Canis lupus familiaris: one gene and its partners. The protein of the gene in region 2 interacts with the protein of the main gene of each other region in a pairwise test. Links are inferred from orthologs where the notes say so. Each region holds a gene or a part of one and is shown on either strand. Other genes may lie near its edges.

Region 1 (4,170 bases), on a different chromosome or scaffold from region 2:
CATCCTGTGAGGACTGAGGAGTTGGGGGTGTGGGAACGTGAGCGGATTAGCCAGTGAGCTTGCACCCATGGTGGTCCCAGCCCCGGGGTCAGTTGCTTCTATTTTCTGATGGCATCGTGATTCCCGGCTTGAGCTGGGCGGCACCAGGTCAAGCCTGCGTGGCCTGCCAGGGTCCTGCTGTGTGGAGTGGCCCCTGGCCCAGCAGTCGGTCAGACTCTACGTCTCCACCAGGTGTGACCTGGAGAACTGAGCTGGTGGTGGCGGTGGGGAGGCTGGTGGAGCTAGAGGCCACAGGACTGCATTTCCGTCCTCAAGGGCAGGCCTTCGTTGTTGCTAGTATATCGAGTTGGCTATAAAAGTCATGGCCCAGGGACACCTGGCTGGCTCAGTCTGTAGGACGTGCCATCTTGAGGTTGTGCGTTCGAGCCCCATCTTGGGTGGAAAGAGTACTTACAAACAAAATCCTCAAAGAAAAAGAAATTGAGAGTCACAGCCCAGATGTCTTAGGGCCCTGGAGTCTCTGAGACTGCAGCCACGCCCCGTACGAGGTCGCGCCCTGGCCTTAGCACTTTGGGACAGACAACCACAGGGAAACCTCCTCCTGGAGGGGGCGGGGGTCCTGCGGGTGCCCTCGCGCCCTGGCTTTGGGGACCTCTGCAGATGGCCTTCCTCAGGCGGTGGCACTGAATTCCCATCAAAACCCCGCCGCCGGCCTCTCGCTGCGCCTGCGCCAGCTCACCTGGGTGCCCCGGGCCCGCCCGGCCAGGTGAGCCGCCCTGCTCGGCTCTACACCCGAGAAGGGAAGTGCAGAGGCGACGGGATCCCCCCGACGTCCCTTCTTCCCCCGGGGGCCTGTTTCCCTGGGAGCCGAGCAGCAGCCAGAGGTCCCTGGAGGGCGGGGGCAGACGCGGCCTCGCGGGCCCGGAGCCCCGACAGCCCCGACGGCGCGGGAAGGGTCTCGCCGGCGGAGCGGGCCGCGGCGCGGGCGCCTCTAGGACTGGGCGCAGGGCAGCCCCCCGCGCGGACGCTGGACGGCGCTGCGGGGCCCCTGCGAGCCGGGGGCGGCGGGGGCGGCGGGGGCGGCGGCGGGGGGAGCGCGGGGCAGGGCGAGGCCGCGGGCGCGGCTCCCCGCGCAGGCGCAGTGCCGCCGCGCCGCCGCTCCGGCCCCTTTAAGCCGCGGCCGGCCCGTCGCCGCTTCATGAATGGAGCCCACGTGACCAAACATCATGTGACGTCTGTGGAGCGGCGGCGGCGGCGGCGGCGGCGGCGGATCCCGAGCCTGGTCCGGCCCGGCCTTCCCAGCGCGCTCGGCCCGGCCCGCGCAGGCGGCGAGCCCCCACCCCGGGCCCGGAGCCCCCGCGCGGCCCCGACCCCCGCCCGCCGGCCGCCCGGCCTCGGCCCGCCCGGGCCCGCAGTGTGCTGGGTGAGTGCGGCGGCGGCGGGCCGGCGGCGGGGGTCGGGCCCGGGCGGGGGCGGGCGGGCGGGCGGCGGCTCCCCGGGCGGCGGCGGCGGCGGGCGGGCCGCGCGCTCCCCGCTGCTCGTTTGCCGGCGCGCTCCCGGCGGCCCGTGCCTCGGTTTCCCCGCGGGTCGGAGCGGCCGCGGGCCCTGGCGCCCGGGGTGCCGGGGGTGGGCCGCGGGGGCCGGAGGAGGGCGGGGCGGGGCGTCGGCGGGGCCCGCTCGGCGGAGCCCCGGGCGCCCTGGTGGGAGGGGCGGCCGTGTGGCGGGAGGAAAGGGTGGGGTGGAGCGGGGCGCCCGCGGCTCCGCGGAAGAGCCCGGGGCCCGGCTGCTGATTCATCAGGTGTCCGTGCCCGCCGGCCCGGGCGCTGGGGTCCCCGGCGGGCCGCGGGGGGGGCGGCACGTGGCGGGCCCGGGAAGACCCTGCCCGCGCCGGCTTCGCTCCGTCACACGCGTGCCAGAGCCCGGAGGGAGACTTGCTGAGTCATCAGCATGAGGTCACTGGATGCTCGTTCTAATGGGGGGGGGGGGGGGGCCGAGCCAGGGGCCTGGGGTCTGAAAGGCCGGGGGATGAGAGCGGGAGGGGAAGCGGGGCGGGGGCCAGGCCCAGGGCAGCGGCTCAAGTCTGGGCTTCTGGGCGAGCTGAAGGCTGGGCGAGGACGAGGTGCAGGGGCCTGCGTGCAGGTGTCGTGTCCCGGCCGAACATGAAGCCCCCGCCCGCCCGGCCCGCCCGGCCGTGCTCGCCTCCGGCGTCCGGTCCCCAACCGGCGTCTGGGACACTTCCCCAAACTGGGAAATAGTTCTGAGTGAGAGGAGGGGAGGAGCTTAGGGGGGCCGTGCTTGCCAGGCTGGGAAGCAGGCTTTCCCTGTGACTGGTCTAGTGGGCTGGGCTGGGCAGCCCCTGGGCGGGGAAGGGAGGGATGCACCCTGGCCGGAGGGAGTCAGTGGCAGAAACAGGGGTGCCTGGATTCTCCAGTCCCGGAGGACAGTGGACAGGGCAGGGGCGAGCAGGTGCAGCTCTACCAGGAAACTCCAATGAGACGGGGCGGCAGGACTTTGGCACCTGGGGAGTGAGGTGCTGGTGAGCAGGCCCTGCCCCTTTGGCAGACTGGCCTTGGGGTTTGGGTCCAAGCCCTGCAGGTGGCGGCCACAGCCGAGGGCGCCTGGTCCTGGGGCACAGCCGGTGGGCTGGTGTGGGAGGCACGCGGAAGGCACTCCGCTCCCCATCACCCCAGAGCTGTCCCCCTCCAGGCTGGGCTCCGTGCTGTGTGGGTGTTAGTGAAGACTGTGGCCCCGGTGAGTGTCGGGATTGGGAGGGGGCAGCCTGAGGGTGGTGTGGCCTGGGCTACCTTTCCTGACTGTGGATGGCTCCTGGCCTCCAGGGGCGGGGGTGTGGTTCATGGCTAGGTCTGGCCGGCCTTGTGGTCTGTCTTCAGGGATCCCCCTCCCCCCCCCCCCCCCCCCACACACACACACACACGCGCGCACTCACAGACACACGCATACTTAGCTTTGGGCTCATCGATGCCAGATGTTTAACACCTCAGCTGATCTTTCCTTCTGCGGCAATGTTATACCTGAGGAATGCAGATTCCCGAAGGGCTGGTTTTCTAAGTCTTCTTCTTTATTCTTAGTGGAAATTGAGTCGTTGGCTTTTTCCAGAATGGCTTTCAGCGGCTGGGGGATCTCGGAGGAGGTGGTGAAGGCCAGGCTAGGTTGAGGCCACTAGAATTTGGGGCCAGGCCCAGGAGCAGGGGCTGGCTGGCTGTGTTGCTCTTGCCACCTGTCCACATCCTGGTTTGGGCCCAGGTAAGGGGTGGCACTGTTTGAACCCGTTTTTCCCTTCCCAGCTGGCTGTCAGCCTGAGGAGGTGGCCCAGCATACCCTGGGGATTCCAGGCTGTTGGGACCACCCGAGCCCTCTCTACGAGGTGGCTCAGCCTCTGGGGAAGGGGAGCGGGGAAGGATGACAGAGCCTGTGGGACGGGGGAAAAGCAGAAGCTTCTCCTTAATCCGGCCTCCCGGGTACCCTTTCTTTGGCTTCTAGGGGTACCCTGAGCTGTCTCTAACAGTCCCTCCCCAAAGGCTATCACTGTCACACCTGTGTGTGTCCCAGGTGGGCAGAGGCCTGGTCAGGAGCCTGAAGCACAGGCTTTGCAGAGACCTGCCCCTCCCCCACCACACGCAGACACACGCTACACCTTTGATTAGGAGGCGAGTGGCTGCACTTGTGCTGAGTTCAGGCCTTCTGCAGAGGGTGAAATCTGTCGAGGAGGCACTTTTCAGCTTCCAGCCGCCACACTCGGCACTTCTCTGTGTGATCTCTTCAGGAAGTCACCGTTGTGCTCAGCATTCGGGGGTGGAGGGAGGATGGCTGGCGGGAAAAGCTGGTGCTTGGGCTGTTCCTTTGGGCTGACAACGGTTAGACCCAGGGGAGTGTCCCTGTACCCTGACTCAGACTCGAGGCTGGGGGAGCCCCCTGGGTGGGTCTGGGGCTCTGGGGATCTTCTGGCCTCCAGCTGGTGTCTTCTCCATCCTCTGCTCTGGAACAGCCATGGGACCAGCCTCAGGGTCTGCCTCAGAGCCCTGGGGAACCCGGCTGTGGTGAGGCACGTCCCGGGACTAGGACGGGGCTAGGTGAGGTGGCCGCTGTACCCTGAAGCCGCTTTGCACTTCCACCTCCCCCACCTGTGCTGTATCTCCCCAGTGAGGGTGA
Region 2 (3,500 bases):
AGTGCGGCGGGCCGGGCCCGGGAGGCCGGCGGCTCCCCAAAGCCTCCAGAGAGGCTGCCCTCCCCAGGGCCCGGGCCGAAGGTGGCCTGGGCTCCCCGCTCTCGGCTGGAAATAGCCGCTCAGGAGGCATCGCGCCCCTTGGTCCCGGGAGGAGCCAGTCGGCGGGTCTAGACCTGGTGCCGGTGTCCGAGCCGGTGTCCCCGGGGCAGCCGGTGTCCCCGGCCGGACCCGCTGTCAGCCCTGCTCCCCTCCCCGCGCCTGGATCTCTCCACTGTTAGTCTCATTATATTATTTTCAGTACAGATGACTTCTTAGCTGGGAAGTGATCTAAATGTCCTACAGGGGGACGCCTGGGGGCTCAGCGGTCGGGCACCGCCTTCGGGCCAGGCCATGACCCCGGGGACCCAGGATCGAGTCCCATGTCGGGCTCCGCACAGGGAGCCTGCTTCTCCCTCGGCCTGGGTCTCTGCCTCTGTGTCTCATGTATACATAAAAATTTTTTTGATATTATTTATTTATTTATTCAGAGAGAGAGAGAGGCAAAGACACAGGCAGGGGGAGACATAAAATCTTTAAAAAAATACAAATTTATTTCCTACCTGTGTAGACTTTTCCAAAAACTAAAGTTGTAAGTCAGAAAAATTGCTTTTTGACACATTTGTGATTAGAAAAATCTAGACGTGGTACGTCGGCCTAGCTTTGTCACAGAGATCAAAATAACCATTACTCTCGTGGCAAGACTCTCCCTGTATCTTAAAACTTTTAGTACCTTCCATCCTTCCCTGGAGCCATGTTTGTTTGTTTTTAATTTATTTTGTGTTTGTTTTTAAGAGGGTTATTTGTGATTTCCCAGAAGTGAAACCCTTTCCCAGGGCAGCCCCTTGCAGCCCCCTGCTTCACCTGCGGGTCACGAGATGACCATTAGCCAGGACTTCCCCGTACTCATTTGTGCAGGCCTCCGGAGCGAACACCCAAGTCCGGAGATTGTTTCCATAAATGAACCACAGGAACAAGAGTTGCTAGAGATGATGGGGGAAAGTAATCCGTGTAGGAAACACCAAAAGAATGGTGCTGTTTCACAGCTGCTAGATTGACATTTAGCAGGGGTTTTCCCCCACTCTGTAAACTGGATATTTGCTGAGTTTAGAAGAAACTCCACATATTTGATCATGTTTCCCAAACTCCCATTTCTCATAGTAAACCAGTGGCTTGGAGTTACTCTCATTTCTGTATTCCATTAAACACGTGTGGGGCTTCCCTTAATTCAAGAGCTTTAATGTGCGTGTTCCTTTGCTCCGTAGTGACCTCTACTACCACCCGGTCATTAATAATCCAAGTTATAAGTATTAGAATGGATGGCTGTTTGTACGTTCTTGTTTCTTGATTCATTGATTGGAATTAACCGTGTCCTTCCAGAACATGGGATCTGTGTTCCCATTCAGATCGTCATCTCCCTACCACCGGCCATCAACAGTGGCATAATGTAAACTACATGATATCTGCCATTTTAAAAACCATCTTAACCATGGTCTCTCTCTTTCCCTTTTTTTAAACATAGGACATGGATTTGATTGACATACTTTGGAGGCAAGATATAGATCTTGGGGTCAGTCGAGAAGTATTTGACTTCAGTCAACGACGGAAGGAGCATGAGCTGGAAAAACAGAAAAAACTTGAAAAGGAAAGACAAGAACAACTCCAAAAGGAGCAAGAGAAAGCTTTCTTTGCTCAGTTACAACTAGACGAAGAGACCGGTGAATTCCTTCCGGTTCAGCCAGCCCCACACATCCCATCGGAAACCAGTGCATCTGCCAACTACTCCCAGGTACAGAAAACTCTGTTCTTGGGAAGGTGTGTGGCAGGGTTTATGGAACTAATACCGACCCAAGAGTTAAAACATCTGGATTTGAGTTTCACTTCACCTTTTTTTATGCCTTTTACTGTCTTCATGACCATATCAAGTCACCTTCCCAACCTCAGCTTCCTGATGAGTTCCTCACAGAGTTGTAGGATTGGGAGGACATAAATCACGGGAAGGTGCTTTCTAAGCTGTGGAAACATACGTAAGTGTCAAGCAGCAGCGGTGGTGGCAGCGGTAAAAGTAGTACAGAGTACTCGCATCTTGTCTGCAGATGAGCAGTTGCAGCTCAGAGATTCAGTAACTTGCTTGCCCGGAGCGCTCAAAACTGGGGAAACCAAGATTCAAACCCAGATAGTCTGGTTGATTTGATTCTGTGCTCTGTACTACACTAAACTGATTTCGGAAAGAAGATAAATGTCTAACTAAATTATAAACACCGTATGACACTGAACAATCTTTTTTTTCTTTTATGTCTCTCTCTTTTATCTAGGTTCCCCACATTCCCAAGCCAGATGCTTTGTACTTTGATGACTGCATGCAGCTTTTGGCAGAGACATTCCCGTTCGTAGATGACAATGAGGTACATTTGGTTAACAGTGAAACTCCTCCACTATATCTAATCACTGTATCTAATATATCCTCTAAGTGTGTCTCCGGTAAAAAAAAATATTTTAAGAGGAAATTTTGTCAAAGAATCCTTAGCCTGTAGATAACTTTACAATTAAAAAAAATATATCTCTACAAAATATACACTTACTGCTGTATAGCCAGAAGCATGGATCTGCATAACCATGGAAACAAATGACTCATTGGTTGTAGGTACTTAGAAATAAATTTTGGTGTGTAAAAAGCAAGCTGGGTAATAAACCAAGACTTGCTCAATTAACACTTTTAGTAAATTTATTATGTTTGAAGCACTATACTAGATATTTTTACTGAGACATACAAATTAAAAATCCTAAAGATTTATACTTATTTTGAAATTTACCTTTGAATGTATAGGATAAAACAACTAAACTAGTAAATGATTAAGTTTAGAGTCGGGCAGGGGAAAAAGAGATTTGTTTCATTAATAAGTGGTTTCATAAGTGGTTATAACTAAAGAAATAGAGAACTGTTAGCCAAGTCCAGTTGAAGGTGTTGTGGGGGTGCCTTGGGGTGTACTTCTCCACTGATGCTGGCAGACTCATGGAGATAAATGCTCTGTCAATTGTAGGTTTCTTCAGCTGCATTTCAGTCCCTTGTTCCTGATATTCCCAGCCAAATCGAAAACCCAGTCTTCATTGCTCCTAATCAGGCTCAGTCACCTCAGACTCTTGCCGTTCAGTCAGTCATTGCTGATTTAGACAATATGCAGCAGGACATTGAGCAAGTTTGGGAGGAGCTACTATCCATTCCAGAACTGCAGGTAACTAAGATCTAATATCAATAAATACCAAAGACACTTTGATATTCAGTGCCTTTAATTATCCAGTTACTATTTACATGCCACCTACTTAATGGAAGGATTGGAAGGTGCTTTTTTTAATATTTTATTTATTTATTTGAGAGAGAGGGAGAGAGCAGGAGAGCATAAGGGAGAGAGCAGGGGAGCATAAGCGTTGGAGAGGGGGAAGCAGGGAGCCCGATGTGGGGCTCC
Region 3 (3,500 bases), on a different chromosome or scaffold from region 2:
TCTGGATAGCCTGGCTACATAAAAATCATTTTTATAAGCATTTTTATAAGGTCTACTTAATACTGAATTCCCACTTAAAAAAAAATTTGATGCCCATATACATAAGGGATTTGAAATGCTAATCTTATAACTGATTGTAAAACTTTACAATCACTTTTAGTCATTATTTATTGTACTCCTAAGATACTACACCCTGATGAGTTTTAAGCTCTAAGAAGATCTCCTTTGTTGAAACAATTTTTTCCTTCTCTCACAAAGTGCAAACAGTATGAAATTGCAGAATAGACTAATTTCTTTTTAAATTTTGAGTTAAATGTATCAATCCAGACTGACCCTAAAATGAGTTTAGATAAATGACTTAAATAGGGAAGGGATAAGCTAAGGAAGACCTAAAAGCTGTCCTAGCATCAATTTCAAGTTATCTTTCAATACGTTTTTATTTTTAGGCTTCTGTGAAAAAGCCTAAAGCTTTAAGCCTTAACTTTATTTCAATATAAAATTTTGGCAAGACCCCTGGTTGGCTTAGTAGGTAGAGCATTCGACTCTTGGATCTCAGGGTTGTGAGTTCGAGCCCCACAATAAGCGTAGAGATTGCTTAAAAATAAAATCTTAGGGATCCCTGGGTGGCGCAGTGGTTTAGCGCCTGCCTTTGGCCCAGGGCGTGATCCTGGAGACCCGGGATCGAATCCCACGTTGGGCTCCTGGTGCGTGGAGCCTGCTTCTCCCTCTGCCTATGTCTCTGCCTCTCTCTCTGTGTGACTATCATAAATAAATAAAAAATAAAAAAAATAAAATAAAAAAAAAAAATAAAATCTTAAAAAAAAAAAAAATCTTCAGGGGATTCCTGGGTGGCTCTGCGGTTTGGCACCTGCCTTTGGCCCAGGGCCTGGTTCTGGAGTCCCAGGATCGAGTCCCACGTCGGGCTCCCTACATGGATCCTGCTTCTCTCTCTGCCTGCCTCTCTCTCTCTCTCTCTCTCTCTCTCTCTCTGTGTGTCTCTCATGAATAAATAAATAAACTCTTAAAAAAAAAAAAAGTTCCTTCTTAAAAAAAAAAATCTTCAGCATAAAGGATTGAAATAGCCTACTTTTTAACTAAAAAGAATTTCTTAAATTTACCATTAAGAAAAAAAACTGCAATTTGTGCATATACCAACTTCCAAATCTTTTAATGTTTTGCTGGTAATAGGACTACAAAGCAAAGAATGAGTATGACTAAGATTTGCTTAAGAAATTTTGGGTAAGGGATACCTGGGTAGCTCAGCAGGTAAGCGTCTGCCTTCCACCTAGAGTGTGATCCCAGAGTACTGGGATCAAGTCCCACATCGGGCTCCCTGCATGGAGCCTGCTTGTCCCTCTGCCTGTGTTTCTGCCTTTCTCTGTGTCTCTCACGAATAAATAAAATCTTAAAAAAAAAAAAAAATTTGGGCAAGACTCAAATGATATAGTATAAAATCTGAAGGCAGTGTTGTTAAGGTCTGGTTTATATTCCAGTAAGAAGAGACCAGCAATTTTCTAACGTCTCTGAGGAGCCATTCATGCAAACTTTTGCTTGGAGAAACACAGGTAGTATAAGCTTAGTAAAATGGATTCTGTGTTCAGAAAGACCTAGGCCTTAAATTCTGATTCCACCACAAAAACTGGATTTAACTGAAGGCTTAATTCTCTTATCTATTAAATGAAGCAAATAGTAGTTGATTCTCATGATGTGAAGTTAAATATAATACTATTAAGCTCTTAGCACAGAAATGGATTCATTTCTAAAATAAAAGTATGGGAGGAAAGCCACTGGAAAACAGGTTATATCTTTTAAAAAGTTAAAAAACTCTACAAATATTAAGACAATTATTTTATCCTTCTTTATCCCACTCTTCCTCCAGGTCACAAATCTCAGCCAGTAAGAGAAAACAATCAGCGTATAAAAGTAACACATATGATGGGGGTGCCTAGGTGGCTCAGTCAGTTATGTGTCTGACTTCCCGGTACTAGGATCAAGCCGCCAGTGAGCTCCCGGCTCAGCAAGGGGTCTGCTTCTCCCTCTGCCCTCCCCCCCCATACCCTCTCTGTAAATAAATAAATATAATTTTTAATTAAAAAAATGTTTAAAAGTAGCATAGATGCAACTCCCTCTAGAGTCCTCAATTTACTGAGACTAACCTGCATCTAAGCTGACCCATCATTCACTCCACCACTACTACACGTTCTCAAAGAGGGCTTTTCCTACAATAGAGAGTCTAAAACATTAAACTTGTTTTTCCAGAAGTGAGTGCTTTCGTGCTTTCTTTTCCAAATTTCCCTCAAAAGCAACATACCTTTGGCTGTGATGAAACAGGAGGAGTACTAATCAAAGGTTTGATAGGGACTGTGTTAGTCTGAGGTGTGCTTATTCTTGGAGACACATACGATCTTGGGGATGATGCATCAGAAGTTAAAGACATTGGAGACTGATTAGATGGCTGAGCTGTGAAAAAGTAAAGCAATTAATTAATTCCAAATAAACCAAAACTTCCGTAATATATATGTAGAGGTCTTTCCATCCCTCTACATGCCCCCTGAACACCAGACAGAACACTTAACTGTTTAAAGTCAGAATCTGAAATACTCACTGGAGTCACGGACTAAAAACGAGCTGTGAATTAGAGAAGCACATCCAATGTATGCCTCCTCCAACCTGTTTTTTCAGGCTGAAGCAAGAAGGTAAGCCTGAACTATTCTCACATGGAAGGCATCCTCACCATTCTTATTTGTTCTTTCTTATTCTATATTTAGGCCTGGTTATACCCCTTTATCTCCTGCCTCATGAGGATAACCAGAGAGTTAAGTCTTTGCACTATTATATTTCAATTTCAGAATAAGTGTTTCTGCTCAGTTTATTAGTTTTCAGAATTGGGGCAGGGGGACAAGTCAAAGTGACCAATTCATTTCTTCTTTGTTCCTATATATGCCTCTTTCCATTGGAGGTTTCATGGAGAAGAGAAATAGGTAATTTAAGACAGGACTTGAGCATTTCTGTATCCTGTGGTCAGTCAAAAATCATTAAACATCAAATGTGAACCAAACCAACACTTAAAATATATTCAATGTTTCATAAAAATTGAGGACCTATCAGTTTACACTCAGCTTTAGAGTACATTGACAACTTAAAGTCTGAATTAAATATGTATTACAGATTTAATGGCAATACTGCAAGATAAATGTCAATGTTTGCCTCATCTGGAAAAAAAAATACTGTATATACTAGTGTTAGAAAAAAAAATCATCAAACATCAGGGGTGTTTGAGTGGCTCAATAGGTTGGGCATCTGCCTTCTGCTCAGGTCATGGTCTCAGGGTCCCAGGATTGAGCCCCACATTAGGCTCCCTGCTCAGCAGAAAGTCTGTTTCTCCCCGCCCTCATGTACATTCTCTCAAATAAATAAATAAATAAATAAAATTAAAAACAAATTACAGGATCCTGTAAAACAAACATCAAATTGTTATAGCTAGTCTCTTCAGAAACCAA
Region 4 (4,297 bases), on a different chromosome or scaffold from region 2:
TTGAGAGAGTGTAGATGGGAGAGAAGCCCTCACTCCTGGCCCCATTCCTCCAGGAAAACCGGGAGGTGGGAGACTGGCGTAAGAACATCGATGCGCTGAGTGGAATGGAGGGCCGCAAGAAAAAGTTTGAAGGCTGAGCTGGCTGCCCCCTGCCCTGGCCCTGAAGGTGTCCTTGAGGAATAAAGTTTCTCTCTGAGCTAGAAATGGCTGCAAGTCTGCTACCTGGGGGTCCGGTGTGAGGGAGATGAGAAGACTGAGGGGAGAGTCCCCCAAAGCCACACCACACAGCAGGAGCAGAGCTGGGTCTGCAGTAGGGGGCGTTCCCAGCTCTTATGCCTCACACGCAGGGTGTGCAGAGATGCCCAGACCGAGGTCCAAGGAGAGAGACATGCACACACACAGAGACAGCCAGAGACCCACAGAGAGGGAGAAAAGACAGAGATTCCTAGAAAGACCTGCAAAGAAAGGGGAAATGGAGAGGCCGATGTGCACAAAGCACATCAGAGACCACCAAACAAGGCAGAAATAGGGACTGAAAGAGGGACAATGCAGAGACATGGAGGAAGACACGGATGCAGAGCCAAAGAAAGACATAAATGAGGTCACACACATTCATATGCCAGTAGACAGATTCACAGAAATTGACAGATTCACCCCCAGAAATGCAGAGACAAAAATGCATGGGGAGACACAGGGAGTGAAAACACAGACTCGGAGAGACCCAGAGAGACAGCCCCTGGAGAAATGCCCAGAAAGAGAAACAGAGATGATAGGCAGGGAGAGACAGAGACACTGAGAAGCAGGAGGGGTGGCTGGCTCCCTTAGGGTTCAAGGTCGTGGCCGGCTGTGGGTAAGGGTAAGGGGGGCAGGAATACCCAACAGCTCAGTGTCAGATGAAGGTGGGGGAGTGTGAGGTCATGGGCCTGACACCACACCCTCTCCCCTCCCCCGACCCACACCTGCTTCCCGGCTTTAGCGCCTGTTGTCACCAGGATGGAATCCTGGTGGCAGACAAAGGGGTGGGGGTGGGAGGGGGTTGACAGAGACAGAGACAGAGACACACAGGTGGAGGGTCCCAGAGACAAAGGAGAGATGGACAGTATCAGAGATGCAGAGAGGCCCGAAGAGACACAGAAACTGGGACAAGAGCCTTATAAGAGGAAGCACCCCTTGTGCTCTTTTTGTCAGTAAGTATTCTCTGAGGACCTACTGTGTGCCAAGCCCAGGGACTTCAAAGCATCGGGTTCAGCGTGCTGTAAGGGAGGTGGGGAGCCCGGAGGTTGGAGGTCACCTGACCCAGTCTAGGTGCGAGGCCATGCTGATGGGGTGAAGGGGTCCCTAGACCCCCAGGAGGTGCCAGGATCCTGAATATGCAGCCAGAGCGGGGGCAGGGCAGCCTCTGAGCTGGACTCTGGGTCTGAGAGAGGAATTCTCAGGCCCTCCCTCTCCCCTGGGGGGCGGGGCTGAGACTCCACTATAAACCAGGGGTGCTTCCACTCGCAGGGTCAGCAACAGATCTGCCCTGCCCATTTGCTCACCGACTCTGCAGACTCAGCCTTAGGTAATGGTCTCCAGGAGCTTCGTACTGGGGGGAGATGGGGGGGGGGGAGACGACAGGAGGGGTGGCTACGGAGGTGGAGGTGGTACAAACTTAAGGCTTGGGAATTCCTGGGAAGTTCAGGCTTTATGAGGCCTGAGGACAGAGGTATTAGGATTTGGGAGTTATGGAGTCTGGGGGTGCCGAGATTGGGGTGTCCCAGAATATAACACCTTCAGACCTAGGAGCTCAGAGGGAATCTCAGAAATTGGGGATATCTGGGCTTGGACATTTATGGGCTGGGTGTCAGGACTGGGAGCCTCAGACTCTGGGGATTTGAGAATTGAGGTCTCCAGGTCTGAAGCCATATGATTGGAGGTACCAAATTTTGGGGCAACATGAATTGTACCTCTGAGCTTGGGCGTCTAGATTTTGGGGTCTCAAGACGTTGAGGCTTTAGAATGTAGGTGTCGAGACCTAGAGCGTCAAGATCTGGGGATGTCAGCCCAGACGCTGGAATCTCAAGAATGGGGTTCTCAGAATCTGGAGACATGAGGCCTTGCTTGTCCCCAGAAACTAGGGGCATCATCAGTTGGAGGGGCTCAGGATCTGTGGGTCTCAGGATTTGGGGGTGCTCTTAACCTGGATACTGTTGGTCCTGGGGGAATCCCAAAGATGATGTGGTGTCTATGTAGGAGTCAGGGTGAGATGTGTGGACTTCACTGCTCTTGATGAGTCCAGCTTCCTTCAAGGCTGTGGGTAGGGGGCCAGGAGGGGCCAGGTGGGAAGATAACCAGATAGGGGGAGGGGGAGGGGTGGAGAGGGAGCCTGCGTGACTAATTCTCCCAGGAGCCTCCCCCCTTGAATCCCTTCTTAGGAAATGTCCTCTGTTTCACCATCTACGACATCCCCCCAAAATAGCCTTTGGGGGGTGGGGCAGCTATTGTCTTCAGGCCACAGTCCCTTCCCAAATACCTTCTCCTAATCTCCACTCAGATCAGGTTCCCATGGACATGTCATAAGACAAAGGAGGACAGCTGTGGTGGTGGAGGGGCAGGAGCTGCAGCTTTGGGGCTGTGCTCCCCCCACACCTCCCAGAGCCCTTTCCCTGTCAGGGCTCCCAGCCCCTCCTTCCTGAGACTGGGGAGTCCAGGCCCCCAGCCCCTCCTCCCTCAGACCCAGGGGTCAAGGCCCCCAGGCCCTCCTCCCTCAGACCCAGGACTTCAGGCCCCCATTCCCTCCTCCCTCAGACCCAGGACTTCAGGCCCCCATTCCCTCCTCCCTCAGACCCAGGACTCTGGCCCCCAGCCCCTCCTCCATCGGGACCCCACCTCAGTCGCATGTTCTTTGGTCCTTAGGTGACACAGGATGTCGGACACCGAGGAGCAGGAGTATGAGGAGTGAGTGGTGCTGGTGGGAGGGCTGGGGTATGGAGAGGTGGGACCCTCTCCCACCTCCAACACGCTAACCCTGCCTCTCTGTCCTCTTCCTGTGTCCTCAGGGAGCAGCCCGAAGGTGAGTGGGGAGTGGGTGGCCCTCGGTGGCCTGGGGACACGCGCGGGAGGCCCGAGGACAAGGGTCGCCCATCGCCCCCGGCCACCCGGGGCGGCCACCCTCGGGGTCGCAGCACCCTGGGCGTGCTCTCTTGTGGGGTTCTAACCCTGCCTTTTCTGCCCCCTGCCCTTCCAGAAGAGGAGGCTGCGGAGGAGGAGGAGGAAGGTGAGGCCTGGACCCGCAGGTCTGCGGCCCAGGCAGCCCCGCGGGGCCGGGGCTGGGTGGGGAGGGGGCGCTGGGCGTGGCGGGGCCGGCGGGCACGGGGCTCCCGACCGCCCCGGCTTCAGGTCCTTTAACAGCCTCTACCCTTTCTTTCCTCCCTGCCCCCCCCCCCCGCCCCCCGCACCCCGGCGTGGCCGCTCCCCCTCGCTACCCCCTCCTCGCTTCTCCCCCTGCCTCCTCCTCCCCAGCCGCCGAGGAGCCGGAGCCCGTGGCAGAGCGAGGTAACCGCGGCTGCTTCGCTTCCCGAGACGGATTTCCTCGGGCCCCGAGCCCTGCGAGGACCCCTGCGCCCGCATAACCCGCCCAGGCCCGGTCCTTTAAGCTCCGGAGAGCTCGCGCGCCCTCTGGTGTCCACGAAGGGAAACGGCCTCGCCGAGGCTTTAACCCATTCCCTTCCTTCTTAAAGGGACCGACACCCAAGCCTTCTTCCCCAGCCTGGAGGAATTCTTGTAGAAGGGTTGGATGTTTGCGGACAGACACCCCCACCCCACCCCCATCTAAGTCCCCGACCCTGTCACTTTTCTCCTTCATATACATTCAAAGGTTGGGGTGTGAGTTGCAGAAAGGGCTCTCCCTGGGCGTCTGGATTCTTGTGTCCCCAGAGGGGAGGGGCTGGGGGCACCCTGAAGTGCTAGGTGTAAATGCAGAAGAGCAGGAGCTTTGGTATGTAAGAGGAAGGTCTGGGGGGGTTGGAGCCCTGGGTTCCCAGAGAAGTGGGAGGGGGACCCCACACCAGTTCTGAATGTATATCTGATGCGTGTGATCCTCCTCTTCCTGATTTCCCTTGTTCCCTCTTCTCCCCCCCTACTCATGCCTCTCCCCCAGAGCTGCTCCTGGGGTCTATGGCTTGGAGGGGAGTTCCCTCCTCTGGGTGTATCAGGCCCACCCCCATGAACTCTTGCTAATTATCTCTTTGTATCTCCCCACTAGAAGAGGAGCGTCCCAAACCAAGGTGAGATCCTAGGGGCTAAGCATCCCAATCAC
Region 5 (4,002 bases), on a different chromosome or scaffold from region 2:
GGCCTCAGCCCGCCTCCCTGCAGATGCTCCAGCCCTCCAGCAGCACCTGGCTCAGGCCTCGGCTTCTTCCATCTGGACCTTGGTCCCTCCAATGTAGGCCCCAGGATAGGAAGAACCACCTGCCCAAAGGCCCTCCTGAGCCCCTTGCTCCCTGGCTACCTGTCGCCTTCCAGGCCTCCAGCTCTGCCTTCTAGGGCCCCCACAATCAGTGCTCCTGCCCTCCTCCCTCAACCCCTACTGTACCAGAAAGCCCCCTCCTGCCCTCCCTGTGGCAGGCGGGCACCCTCTGGTGAGCATAAATCAAGGGCTGAGCCCAAGACTTGGTCCTGGTCTCTCTGTCCGAGGCTTGCTCCCCTCGCTGGAAGGAGAGCAGCGGATGTTCTTAACTACACCTGTTCCCCTCAACTTCCAGCAAGTGGGAGGCATGCTGCCTAACCACACGTGAGCACTGCACTGAAGGGAGGGGGCTCTGGGGCACCCCCCGTCCAGGGCAGCCCACGTGACACAGAAAAGCAGGCAGGGTGCTACGCCAGACCCCGGGTGTCAGACTCTGGCGCTACAGGCCAGGTGAGGAGGCTTCAGGCTTGGGGTCCTCATCTAAAGCGGGAGGGGGTGGGGGGGGGGCGTGGACTGCATGATCCGTACCATGTATCTCTACCTGTTCTAAAGTTCTATGATTTTAAGACAACACTTTCAATTTCCTGAAACTGTAAGAAAGAGGAAACATGACGAGTCTGGGACTTACAAAAAGCAAAAGTAAACACGGGAGCAATGCATCTTCCATCGGCAGGGAGCAGGGAGGCGGGGAGCAGAGGGGAGGGTGAGTCACTGTTTACTGCTCTGAGGAGCAACCACACAGAGAACGCTCACAGCTGCCCGGGTTCCATTTCCCGTGTGGACTGGACCCTAAAGCCAGAAAGTCCACTCCAGAAACCTTTAGACTCGGGACCAGGCAGGCCTTCTTCTCGGCTCCTGAGACAGTAAACAGACTCTCCAGCTATTGGAGCTCCAAGAGAGCCCGCGTGTGGGGCAGCAGACACTTGGGCGGACGAAGGTGGGTCGGGAGAGCCACCTCACTGCAGCCCTGCCGGGCCCTGGAGACAGGGCTGGAACGAAGCAAGCCACAGCAGTGACTTCCCCAGTAGCCCCAATTCGACTCCCATTTTTAGCAACCACCTTGAAAGTGAGTGGGGCTGAACTTGGACCACATCCCTTAAAGTCCAGCTATGCTCAAACACAGACGCAAAGGCACTCCAAAGAGAAGTCTTGCTTTGTGTTCCTGGGTCAGTAAACTTTATTTTGGAACCACAGGAGGACCGGGGTTAAGTTCTAAAAGCAGACCTCCCTCCTCCCCGCCCCCCCCCCCCCCTCCCCGAGCTCAAACTCAAAACACTGCTACTGGGTTACCTCCTGAGGGAAGTTCTGCAAAAGATGTCAACTACCCACAATGCAAGAGAGGTTTAGGTGTGCCTCACCCACCTGCACAGCCCACCTTCCACTTCTCAGACCCCTCCCACCCGCGTGGACAGACACTCTTTAAGAAGCCCCATCCCAGAAGGCATGGTGCTTGGAGAGGCCCAGCGCACACGGTGGAGAGCGGCACTCTGCCGAGATATACCTGTGCTGGGAGGGCTGTAACAGCAAAATCTCCAGTGCCCATAAAGGGGAGGGAAGAGGGGGAGGGGAGGGCGTCCAAGTCACACGGACCCAGGAAGCCACGGACCCCATCTGCGTGTAGGGATCTTCCGCACTGACCATCCAGCGGGGAAGCAGGGCTGCCCGACCAGAGAGCAGCGGGAAAGGTAAACAAGAGCATAATCATTAACGCAGAACAGAGCAGGGAACTTCCAGCACCCCAAAACATCAACGCTCCACGACTGTGTTCTGCTTTGTGAAAGCACTCCACAGCACGTGGCTGGCCAGAACAGCACGAGACGCCCAAGGCAAAGCCATCAGCTCTGCCTAAGGTAGACCCAGGTAGGGGGGACCCTCCCCCACCCCGTAGCCCTCCGAGGTTCCCGGGGCGGGGGCAGTGGACGCGGGTGGGCGGACCTGGGAGGGATGGAGACCCCCATTCGCAGACGAGAAGGTGAGGCCGCGGGGTTTGGGGCAAGCGTCCCCCTCCCCACTCAGAGCTCCCACCCCAAGGCCTGCCTCCGGGGAACCCCTGGCAGGTCAGCTGCTCCGAACGTGACAGCGGTCATGAGTCCCCTCGTCCTGTCCCCCCCGCCCCCGCCCCCAGCGCGGGTGGGCAGCCCCCGCCGGGCAGGGCGGCACCGGCCGGGTCGGCCCCGCGCCACCACGCGCTCCCCTGCACGTGGCCTGTATTTTCGCCCCCGCCTTCCCGCCTCCGAGCGGATCTCGGGGCCAAAGGCACCGCCGGCGGAGAGGGCTGGACAAGGAGCGCCGGGCCCGCCCGCACGCCCCGGGCTCCCCCCCGCGGGGCCCCCAGCCTCCCGCTCGGGCTCGGGGCGGCCCGGGGACCCGGAGAGCGCTCCGGGGCCTCAGGGGCGGGCGGCCCGGCCCGCGCGGCACCTGACGGCAGGTGCGCGGGCCGGGGTCTCGGGGTCCCGCCCAACTTCGCGGCCGCGCCGAGGCCGCCGTGACTCAGCGGCGCGCGGCCCCGCCCGCCCCCGGCCCGCCCCCGGCCGGCCCAGCCCCGGCCCCGGCCCCGGCCCCGGCCCCGACCCCGACCCCGGCCCCGGCCCCGGCCCACTCGGCCCGGCCCGGCCCGGCCGCTCCTCACCTGGCGTCGCGCGGGGGGCGCGGGCGCGCGGCGGCTCCTCGCGGGCACGCGCTCTCCTCGCGCTCGCGCTCACTCTCGCGCTCCCCTCGGCCGCCGCCTCCGCCGCGCGCTGGGGCTCCGACTTCGCAAAGAACAACAAGTCCCCCCCGCCGCCCGCCGCCAGCCCGCCCGCCCGGCTCCCCAGCATCTGACACCGCTTCCGGGATCGGCGTCGGCGCGCGTCACGCCGCCCCGCCCACTGCGCGCCGCCGCCGCCCGGCCCCGCCCCCCGGCCCCCGCCCGCCGCCCGCCGCGCGCCGCTCGCGGGCCCGGCCCCGCCCCCCGCCCCCAGCCCCCCGCCCACGGCCCGGCCCCGCCCCCCGCCCGCCGCGGCCCGGCCCCGCCCCGCCCCGCGCCCGCCCAGCGCCCGCCAGAGCGCCGCCGAGGGCTGCACCTGCGCTCAGGTGCCGCGCGCCCCGCGTGGTGGCGGTCGTCCCCAGTGAGGGAGCCGAGCCAAGAGCTCCCCCGTTGCCCACAACCGTGCGCCCCGGCCGCGCTGCTCGCCTCTCCCAGCCGGCCTCGCGCGCGTCCCCTCAGCCCCATTGGACCCTCGGGAGACTCCGCCGTCCCCAGGGGTGGTCCCAGCGGGAGCCCAGCTTGGGGGCAGGGGGCTCCACCTGGGAATCCAGCTGGAGTTCTCGTCCTGGGGGACAGTGCGCTAGACGCTACTGCCAGAGGCCAGGGTCCTGGGGTCTAATCGGGGAGGGCAGCCTCCTTGTACCATTGCCCCCGTCCCCGCCATGGACATCCCCATCTGTCCTTTGATTTCTCTTTTTTGGTCAAGAAATGGGTAAAGAAGGACGCCTGGGCGGTTCAGAGGTTGAGGGTATGCCTTCGGCTCAGGTCATGATCTCTGGGGACCTGCGATGGAGTTTCACACTGGGGTTCCTGCAGGGAGCCTGCTTCTCCCCCTGCCTATGTTTCTGCCTCTATCTGTGTGTCTCTCATGGATGAATAAATAAAATCTTTTTAAAAATGGTCAAAGAGAATTATTTCTCTTCTATAGAAATGGTGATGAACAGCTTTGGCCCAGGGCCTCAGTGTGAGGGGCTCCCAGGTTCAGGGACCTGGGGAACAGGTCCAGCTCGTGGTTGCAAAGGCAGGACCAGAACAGTGCCCTGGGTCACAGAGGGGGTGTTCTGGTCCCATGCCAGGTGGAGGACAGTCTGTGGAGGGGACCCCTCTGTAATAATCCACAACAAACAGAGACCAACCTT
Region 6 (4,188 bases), on a different chromosome or scaffold from region 2:
GACGAGAAACTTACATTCTGATTGGGTAAGACAGACATTAAATAGGGACGCCTGGGTGGCTCAGTGGTTGAGCCTCTTACCTTCAGCTCAGGTCATGATCCTGGGGTCCTGAGATCCAATCCCGCATCACGGTCCCTGCAGGGAGCTGGCTTCTCCCTTTGCCTATGTCTCTGCCTCTCTCTCTCTGTCTCTCATGAATAAATCAAATCTTAAAAGAATAGTAAGCAAATACATAAGCAAGGTAACACCTTATGGAGATAGTAAGGTAATATAAAAACATATTTCAGAAGTGGGGGCTCTTTTGGCCAGAGCAGCCAGGAAAGGCCTCTCTGAGGTAACGACCTCTAAGCTGACTCGAGAGATGAGAAAACCTGGCAGTGAACAGAGGACATAGCTAGTGCAAAGGACCTGTGGTAGGAAAAAGCTAGGTGTGCTTGAAAAACAGTAGGAAGGGCAGTGTGGCTGAAGGGTAGTGGGTGAGGGGAGAATGGAAGGAGGTGAGGCTGCAGAACTGGGTAGAGGCCAGATGGCTTAGGGCCCTATAGACCAGAAGGAGGAGTATAGTCTATATTCTCAATGCAAATGGAAGCTATTGAGGGTGTTAAGCCAGAGGGTGTGAGTGTGTGAAACGGTCTGATCCTTGTTTTAAGAACCTCGTCGGGTGTGTGATGAAAGCCTTTAGAGGCAAAGTGGGGAAGCTGTCAGGAGGCTTGCTGCTGTTCTCCAGGTGAATTGATGGTGCCTGGCCCAGGGGCCAGGATTGGGGGGTGGGAAGGAGGGTCAGACGCTGGACCGCGTTGGAGGTGGAGCCAGCCTGACCGATGGGGATGAAGGCAGAAAGAGCAATGGGCTTGAACAACTGAAAGTGGGGAGTCTGCGGGTACCGGGAGCTGGGGCAGGGTGGTGGGTCGAGAGCTGGATGTTTGCCGTCCTCATCTGGCACCCAGGTGGAGGTGCAGAGTGGGCAGTCCAGGACTCAGCGCTCCCTGGAGATCATGGGTGGCATTTAAAACCACGGGACTGCATGAGATCATCGAGGCGGAGGGTGTAGGTTGAAAGGAGAAGAGGCGCGGGGCTGGCGACTGCAAAATGAGACGAACGACACCTCCGCCCACGCGGCTCTCGCGAGGCGTCACGTGAACGCACCGCGCAGGGGCTCTCACGCGGGTGGAGGAGCCCGGCCCGGCCGCGCGGAGGCCCGGGGTGGGGGCCCTATGTGGGCGGGGCCGGCTGGGGGCGGGGCCGAGGGCCGGGAGGCCGCTCGGGGGCCGGAGGGACCGCCGGGCGGTGACGTCACCGCATGACTGGGTTTTTATGAATGAAAGGAATCCTGTGAGTGAGTAATTCCGGGAAGCTCGCCTTACAACTCCGCGCCGCCCCCCGCGCCGCCCGCCCCACAACAAAACTCGGCGCGGCGCTCTCGGGAGCCCGGCTCGGAGCGACCCGCGGTCGGGACCGGAGGGAGCCAGGACCAGGGCGCCGGGCCGGGACAGCCAGCCCGGACGGCGGCGGCGGGGCCAGGCGGAGCGGGCCGAGAGGCGGGTGAGGGAAGGGCTCCGAGGCGGGGACGGGCGCGCGGAAGCCGGGGCGCAGGGCCGGGTGCCCGGGATCGTGCCCGGGGCCCGCGGGGTGCCCTCGCCCGGACGCCGGGTGGCGGGGGAGCGGGGCCCGGAGGTCGGGGGCACCGAGCTGGGCGGGGCGCGGCGGGACGGGACGGGACGGGACCGGGCAGCGCAGGCCGGCGAGCGGCGGCGTCCGCCCAGGCGGGGCCGGGGGCGGCGTGTGCACGTACGTGACTCGGCGAGAGCAGTCCCTGGACGCCCGCCCGCGGGCCGTGCGTGCGCGGTTTGTTTACCTCCGAGGGCGGGGGCGGGGGCGGGCGTGTGTGTCTGTTCCCGGCCGGGGGCCCTCGTATCTTACCGGGTGCGTGAGTGAGACAGGCGGGGGGGCGTGCGTGTGCGTGTGTGTCCGCCCGCCCACGCGCTCCCGGGGCCGAAGACCCCCCTGCGGCCTGCGTGCCAGCCGTGTGCTGTGCCCCTCGGAAAGAGTGTCCCCACATGAATAAACGCAGAACAGGGACTCGATCGACGGAAGTGGCCAGCTCCCTGGTCACACGGGGGGACGGGAACTCTCCCTTGGGCTGTCCCCTTCCGACCAGTCCGCAGCCGGGCCCTTCGGTCTACGGAGTTTCCCAGGGACACGGCCATGTGACTGCCGTGCTTGTCCCTGGCCCAGAGCGGGCGCCTGCAGCCACAGGGTGGGGCAAAGTATCAAAGGCCCCACCCGGCTGGACTGAGGGGTGAGAGAGGGCCGGCCCTGGCCTCAGCACCCCGATCCATCGGGCTGGCAACAAAATAGGCTGGTGCCTCTGTCCTGGTCCCCAGGTTTTCCAGCACGGGGTGGGGGTCCATCCCCTCCCTCTCAGGAGGAAGAAGGACCAGAAAACCCAACGCAAAGGTGGCAAGTCAGAAGGAATCCCTGGCCTCCTCTCTCTGGTGGCCACTCTGGCTGGTCCTGGTTCTGGAGGTTGTACCTGCTGGGTTGGGGAGGGTGAGACCGGGAGGTTGGGGTGGAGCTGGTTTCTGCTCTCCTGGTAGTTTCAGTTCACAGGTGGGATTAGTCAGACCTATTGATGGTTGGACCTGAGGAGCTAGTTGAAGGCCTGGGCCAGCCCTAGGACCCAGAGTCCTCACCCTGGGCTGGGCATGGTCCACAGGCAGGTGGCAACAGGTGGTCTTGGTCCATGAAGGGTTAAGATGTGAGAGGCAGGGCCCTGACCTAGCCCCTCTCCCCAAGAGCCCACTGACATTCAGGGTTGGGGTTCCTTGGTCCTCTTCTGCCCTCCTCCCACCCTCAGAGCTTGGTGGGGGGCAGTAATTGAGTTTGCTGGGGGGAGGAACCAGACGATCTTTTAACCTCAAGCCTTTGAGCCCTGGTGAGCTCTGGTACCACAGCTGGGAATCAGTGTCGCCATCTGCAGCAGGAACTAGACAATATTTGGGGTGGCAGGATGGGTGTAGAATGGTAGAGGTATGGCAGCCTCTGCACACCAGCTATTTTCCAGGGGACCTGTGTGAGAGAAAGAGGAGCCAACAGCCCCAGGCTGGAGCCAGGGATGTCCTGGAGTATAGCGTTTGAGTAAGGGAGGTGGCAGCCAGGAGCACAGGAACCAGGCAGGCCCATCCTTCAGGGCTGGACAGGAAATGTCCCCCAGTAGGGCAGGGGGTCAGGGGACAAGGGGAAGTGGCTGGTTGGCTGGAAAGCTAGCACTGAAAGTTTTGACCTTCCATTGAATCACCTCTGGGCCTTCCCTGGGTCTGGGACCCAGCATGGGACAGCCTTCCTCAGTCCTGACACTTCTGGCCTGCGTTGCCATCTGCTGTGGGTCAGGTGCTGGGGATGAGATGGTGAAGAAACCAGGTCCAGAGCCTGCCCTCTGGGAGCAGGGAAACAAAGTTGAAGAAGAGCTACCAAACTAAAAGCAAAACCACAGCTGAGATGGGTAGTATGAGGAGAAGACATTGATTTGAAGTATGTCACGGGGCTCTAACTTAGCCAGGACCATCAAGGGAGGCTTCTCTGAGGAGGTGACCAGTGAGTTGGGTTGCCAGATGGAGGGATGGTCATCTATGGAGCCCCTACAGGCAGGGGTTGTGATTCCTCTTTTGGCCTTTGGGACCCAGCAACAAGTCTGGGCAGAGTAGGTGCCTCTTGGAAGTTTGCTGATTAAATGAATGAATGAGCACCAGATCCATGTCCTGGAAAAATTCCACAGCACTTGGAGAAAAAGGCCTGGGAACCCCCAGGGAAGCAGAAAGTCCGAACAGGCTATAGGATTTCTTGAAGCAATCTCTCAAAAGTGAGCAGATCCTTCAGAACCCACGTGCCATCCTCTCTCTCTCTCTCTCTCTCTCACACACACACACACTCCTTGTGGGAAATGTACTAGGATGGTAGTGTTTCCTGTCTGTTCCTTCATTGTTAGCATGAGGCTCCTGGGAGAGAGTGGGGAGACAATACAGTGGAGACCTGGGGGACCCACAGCGTGGGCTGGAGTGGGGGCTGGCATTGCAGGGTTTTGAAATGCACGGAGCATGAGCAGGTGTGTAGGTTTGTGTCAGCTGTCAGCAGTGCTCCCTCTGACAGCTCTTAGGAGAGGACAGATGGCAGGGCCGGTGGTGGAGGCTG
Region 7 (3,795 bases), on a different chromosome or scaffold from region 2:
TCCAAACACGAACCTCCAAACCTCCGTGAGTGGGCGTGGGTGCTCAAGATTCTCCCCCCACCAGGTTGCAGAATTGGGAGAGGGACAGATACCAGTTTAACAAAATCTCTTAGGGGAACTGCATCTGTATAAACCAAAAGAAGTTCCCTGTGATAGACTGCATACTTTTAACAGAAACGTTTTGGCAGGCCGGTATGCGAGAGTCACTAACTGGGCTAGATTGTGCACCTTCCCGACCGGACTGGAGAGTTCACGGGAAGGACGCGGCGTTGGCCCCTGACGGTGTGTGGGGAGCGTTTAGAACCCGACTGAGGCCCTCAGTCTCCCCTTTCAGCTACTTCGGTGCTTGCGTGTGATGAAAACGCACCCGAAATTCCACTTCCTTTTGCCTAGTTTCATCTCGGGCCTGAACTTGGGTCTCTAATTCGGAGCTGGACGGAGGGTGGCAGGAAGGGACCACAGGGGCCAGGGCCTGATGTCGCCGTTTGGGACTCCTCGGGCTCCAGAAGCCCGGGGGAGGAGCCAGGGTCGTCTCGGACAGCCTCGCGTACGCCAGGCTCAAGAAGCCACTACAGAGCGGATTCACCGAGACGCGGCCACGGAGGACACAGCCCGGCGGCGGGAACCCCGCTGGCCGCTCCGCCCCTTCCCGCTCGGACCCGGCCTCCCGCTCGGAGCGGCCCGCCCATCCCGGGGTCTGAGCCAATAGGAAACCGAGATATATATGACTCACCATGTCTAACCAATCAGCTCGACGCTCGCTCTCCGCCAGCATCTCGCGCGATAACCAGGCGGCCTCTGACTTCACAATAAAAACCTTCCTTGAGGTGAAAGACTTCTCTCCCCGCCCCCCAGGCTGACGCCGGAAGCGAGGTGTGTCTGAGGAATCCCTCCGCGCTCCCGGCGGCAGAGGGAGGAGAGGCTCTTTGATCTTAGTAGCCTTGCAAAGTAGCGCGCCTTTTTCCTTTCTCGAGACGTTGGAAGTAACAACTCTTCTCTTCACAGCTACGCCGTGGACCTAAAAGTCGCTGGTCGGACACGATAGGGGCGTCGGATCGCGAAGACGGGTGGGTGGGAGGCGCGGGTCACGTGACCGCGGCGGAAGGATGTGCGGTGTGATGCGTCCTCATAGAGGCAAAGTCTATAAAGGACCCTCGATCGGCGCGGCGCGGCCATTTCCCTTCCTCCCGCCTGTAGATGTAGATCCCTGTGGCAAGCGTGCGCCTTCCCTCCTCCAATCCCCCAGGGTCCGCGGCCGCCATGGCGTATTAGAGGCAGCAGTGCCTGCGGCAGCATTGGCCTTTGCAGCGGCGGCAGCAGCACCAGGCTCTGCAGCGGCACCCCCCAGCGGCTTAAGCCATGGCGTAAGTACGGGGCCGCCCGCGCCGTGCTCCCCCGGGTCGGCGAGGGCAGTCGGCCCGCCTGGGCGCGGCCTGCGGCGGGGCGGGGCGGTGCCGCGTAGGGGGAAGCGGCTTTACGAGCGCCCGGGACGCGTGGCCCCTGTTTGGGTGTCCTCGAGACGCCGACGCTTCTGGGTCAGGAGAGTGCGGCCCGGCGGGGAGAAGCGAGCCCTCGGCGGCCCCGGCCCCGGCCGCGGCCCCCGACGGCTTCCCGCCCGGCCCCCCGCGAAACGTGGCAGGGGCCAAGATGGCGGCCGGGCAGGGCGGCGGCGGCGCAGCGTGAGTCACGGGCGGCCGTGGGCGGGGCCGGGCGGCCTGGGCCGTATTTGGACATGAGCCGGGCGCGCCTCCTCCGGCGGCGGGGGGAGGAGCGGCCCGGCCCCGAGGGCGTCCATCTTGGGCGGCCCGACGGGGCCGCGGGGAAGGTGGAAGCCATGGCCCCGGGGCCACGTGTCCCCGAGCCTCTGCTCCCGAGTGGAGTTCCAGTCTGGCCGTCCTGCCCCCGGGAGGAAGGGATGAGCTTCCCGGACCGGCCGATGTCGAAGGGGTTTCGGTTTCTGCTTCCGTTTCAGGCTTTTCACGGCATCCAGCAGCAGCGTTGCTGTAACCGACAAAGACACCTTCGAATTAAGCACATTCCTCGATTCCAGTAAAGTCCCGCGACATGGCCGAGATGAGTTTCCTGAGCAGCGAGGTGTTGGTGGGGGACTTGATGTCCCCCTTCGACCAGTCGGGTTTGGGGGCTGAGGAAAGCCTAGGTCTCTTAGACGACTACCTGGAGGTGGCCAAGCACTTCAAACCTCATGGGTTCTCCAGCGACAAGGCTAAGGCGGGCTCCTCCGAATGGCTGGCTTTGGATGGGTTGGTCAGTGCCTCAGACAACGGCAAGGGTGAGTGGGGGTCGTTGGCCGCCGGGTCTGGTCTCCGGGCTGTTGCTGAAGTGTGCGTCTGACCTCTCGGGTTCCTTCTTGACTCTTTTGCAGAGGATGCCTTCTCCGGGACAGATTGGATGGTGGAGAAAATGGATCTGAAGGAGTTTGATTTTGACACTCTGTTCAGTATAGATGACCTGGAAACCATGCCAGATGAGCTTTTGGCCACGTTGGATGACACGTGTGATCTCTTTGACCCCCTAGTCCAGGAGACTAATAAGGAGCCCCCTCAGATCGTGAACCCAATTGGCCATCTCCCAGAAAGTTTACCAAAAACAGACCAGATTGCCCCCTTTACCTTTCTGCAACCACTTCCACTCTCCCCAGGGGCCCTGTCCTCCACTCCAGATCATTCTTTTAGTTTAGAGCTAGGCAGTGAAGTGGATATCTCTGAAGGAGATAGAAAGTCAGATTCTACTGCTTACATTACCGTGATCCCTCAGTGCATAAAGGAGGAAGATGCCCCCTCAGATAATGACAGTGGCATCTGTATGAGTCCTGAGTCCTATCTTGGGTCCCCCCAGCATAGCCCCTCTACCTCCAGGGGCTCTCCAAATAGGAGCCTGCTGTCTCCAGGTTCCCTCTGTGGTTCTGCCCGCCCCAAACCCTATGACCCTCCTGGAGAGAAGACCGCAAAAGTAAAGGTTGAGAAACTAGATAAGAAACTGAAAAAAATGGAGCAGAACAAGACAGCAGCCACTAGGTACCGCCAGAAGAAGAGGGCAGAGCAGGAAGCCCTCACTGGTGAGTGTAAAGAACTGGAAAAGAAGAACGAGGCTCTGAAGGAGAGGGCAGATTCTTTAGCTAAGGAGATCCAGTATCTGAAAGATTTGATAGAGGAGGTCAGAAAGGCCAGGGAGAAGAAAAGGGTCCCCTAGTTGGGGGTGTCAGGAATGTGTGCTTGTACATAGGCTTGCGCTGAAGCTGTGTTGTAATAAATTATTTTGTAGTGAAAGTACTTGAGCTCGTGTGTACCTGGTTTCTTGTCTTAATCTCTACCCTGGTGATGGTGACCAAGTCAAGTGGAGTTGGCTCAATCCTGTTGGGCTCAGGGCCTCCACAGGAGACTCTGGGGGTGAGGCTGTGGCCTCATAAGCCATAACACTGACTAGTCTTGAGTACCCAGGTAAGGCCCCACCTGGGCATACAAGGTTAAATTCCACTTTGAACTCAAGTTCTGTAAACTCAATCCTGGAACTGCAAAGAAAAGGTCTTTGGGTTTTTCTTGGAATGGACTGTTAAAGGAGTTTTAAAGAGATGCAGAAATTCTTAGCCAGTGCTGGGCTCAAAGGCTGGCAATCTGACCAGAGGAATCCTTGCTGCAATTGGTGTGCAGGGCTAGCTCTCCAGGAAGAGCCAGTCTTGACGTTCATTGGAATGGCGATGGGGACACCCAGTGTGGCACCAGGTAGTGTGAGCTTTTTATGTGCTTTCTCCTGGTCCCTGGGGTAACCCTGTGGGGC

What was found.
Region 1: the proteins of NFE2L2 (region 2) and MAFG interact in binary tests that used the Homo sapiens proteins (3 or more experiments, as listed by UniProt). The link is inferred for Canis lupus familiaris from reciprocal best matches to the Homo sapiens genes NFE2L2 and MAFG.
Region 3: the proteins of NFE2L2 (region 2) and WW domain-containing adapter protein with coiled-coil interact in a two-hybrid assay, tested with the Homo sapiens proteins (2 studies listed by BioGRID and IntAct). The two-hybrid records come from large-scale screens. The link is inferred for Canis lupus familiaris from reciprocal best matches to the Homo sapiens genes NFE2L2 and WAC.
Region 4: the proteins of NFE2L2 (region 2) and TNNT1 interact in binary tests that used the Homo sapiens proteins (3 or more experiments, as listed by UniProt). The two-hybrid records come from large-scale screens. The link is inferred for Canis lupus familiaris from reciprocal best matches to the Homo sapiens genes NFE2L2 and TNNT1.
Region 5: the proteins of NFE2L2 (region 2) and MAFK interact in binary tests that used the Homo sapiens proteins (3 or more experiments, as listed by UniProt). The link is inferred for Canis lupus familiaris from reciprocal best matches to the Homo sapiens genes NFE2L2 and MAFK.
Region 6: the proteins of NFE2L2 (region 2) and MAFF interact in binary tests that used the Homo sapiens proteins (3 or more experiments, as listed by UniProt). The link is inferred for Canis lupus familiaris from reciprocal best matches to the Homo sapiens genes NFE2L2 and MAFF.
Region 7: the proteins of NFE2L2 (region 2) and ATF4 interact in binary tests that used the Homo sapiens proteins (3 or more experiments, as listed by UniProt). The link is inferred for Canis lupus familiaris from reciprocal best matches to the Homo sapiens genes NFE2L2 and ATF4.

Annotation. Positions count from the first base shown.
Region 1 is NC_049230.1:1,190,586-1,194,755, forward strand, and holds the start of MAFG (transcription factor MafG), read left to right. Parts: upstream 1-1,370; 5' UTR 1,371-1,423; intron 1,424-1,823; exon of another isoform or gene 1,824-1,952; intron 1,953-2,118; exon of another isoform or gene 2,119-2,139; intron 2,140-2,354; exon of another isoform or gene 2,355-2,751; intron 2,752-2,942; exon of another isoform or gene 2,943-4,170. UniProt on the Homo sapiens protein: Since they lack a putative transactivation domain, the small Mafs behave as transcriptional repressors when they dimerize among themselves.
Region 2 is NC_049257.1:21,323,584-21,327,083, reverse strand, and holds part of NFE2L2 (nuclear factor erythroid 2-related factor 2), read left to right. Parts: intron 1-1,558; coding exon 1,559-1,825; intron 1,826-2,351; coding exon 2,352-2,441; intron 2,442-3,077; coding exon 3,078-3,269; intron 3,270-3,500.
Region 3 is NC_049223.1:15,360,465-15,363,964, forward strand, and holds part of WW domain-containing adapter protein with coiled-coil, read right to left. Parts: intron 2,461-3,500; coding exon 2,312-2,460; intron 1-2,311.
Region 4 is NC_049222.1:103,244,240-103,248,536, forward strand, and holds the start of TNNT1 (troponin T, slow skeletal muscle), read left to right. Parts: upstream 1-1,497; 5' UTR 1,498-1,561; intron 1,562-2,179; exon of another isoform or gene 2,180-2,290; intron 2,291-2,868; exon of another isoform or gene 2,869-2,895; 5' UTR 2,896-2,905; coding exon 2,906-2,937; exon of another isoform or gene 2,938-3,038; coding exon 3,039-3,052; exon of another isoform or gene 3,053-3,226; coding exon 3,227-3,256; intron 3,257-3,501; coding exon 3,502-3,534; intron 3,535-4,243; coding exon 4,244-4,265; intron 4,266-4,297. Other genes in the region: TNNI3 (troponin I, cardiac muscle), read left to right, coding at 54-137. UniProt on the Homo sapiens protein: Troponin T is the tropomyosin-binding subunit of troponin, the thin filament regulatory complex which confers calcium-sensitivity to striated muscle actomyosin ATPase activity.
Region 5 is NC_049227.1:15,573,349-15,577,350, forward strand, and holds the start of MAFK (transcription factor MafK), read right to left. Parts: upstream 2,801-4,002; 5' UTR 2,747-2,800; intron 496-2,746; exon of another isoform or gene 1-495. UniProt on the Homo sapiens protein: Since they lack a putative transactivation domain, the small Mafs behave as transcriptional repressors when they dimerize among themselves.
Region 6 is NC_049231.1:27,483,728-27,487,915, reverse strand, and holds the start of MAFF (transcription factor MafF), read left to right. Parts: upstream 1-1,388; 5' UTR 1,389-1,542; intron 1,543-4,188. UniProt on the Homo sapiens protein: Since they lack a putative transactivation domain, the small Mafs behave as transcriptional repressors when they dimerize among themselves.
Region 7 is NC_049231.1:26,489,723-26,493,517, reverse strand, and holds ATF4 (cyclic AMP-dependent transcription factor ATF-4), read left to right. Parts: upstream 1-1,150; 5' UTR 1,151-1,364; intron 1,365-1,972; 5' UTR 1,973-2,064; coding exon 2,065-2,290; intron 2,291-2,383; coding exon 2,384-3,210; 3' UTR 3,211-3,295; downstream 3,296-3,795. UniProt on the Homo sapiens protein: Transcription factor that binds the cAMP response element (CRE) (consensus: 5'-GTGACGT[AC][AG]-3') and displays two biological functions, as regulator of metabolic and redox processes under normal cellular conditions, and as master transcription factor during integrated stress response (ISR).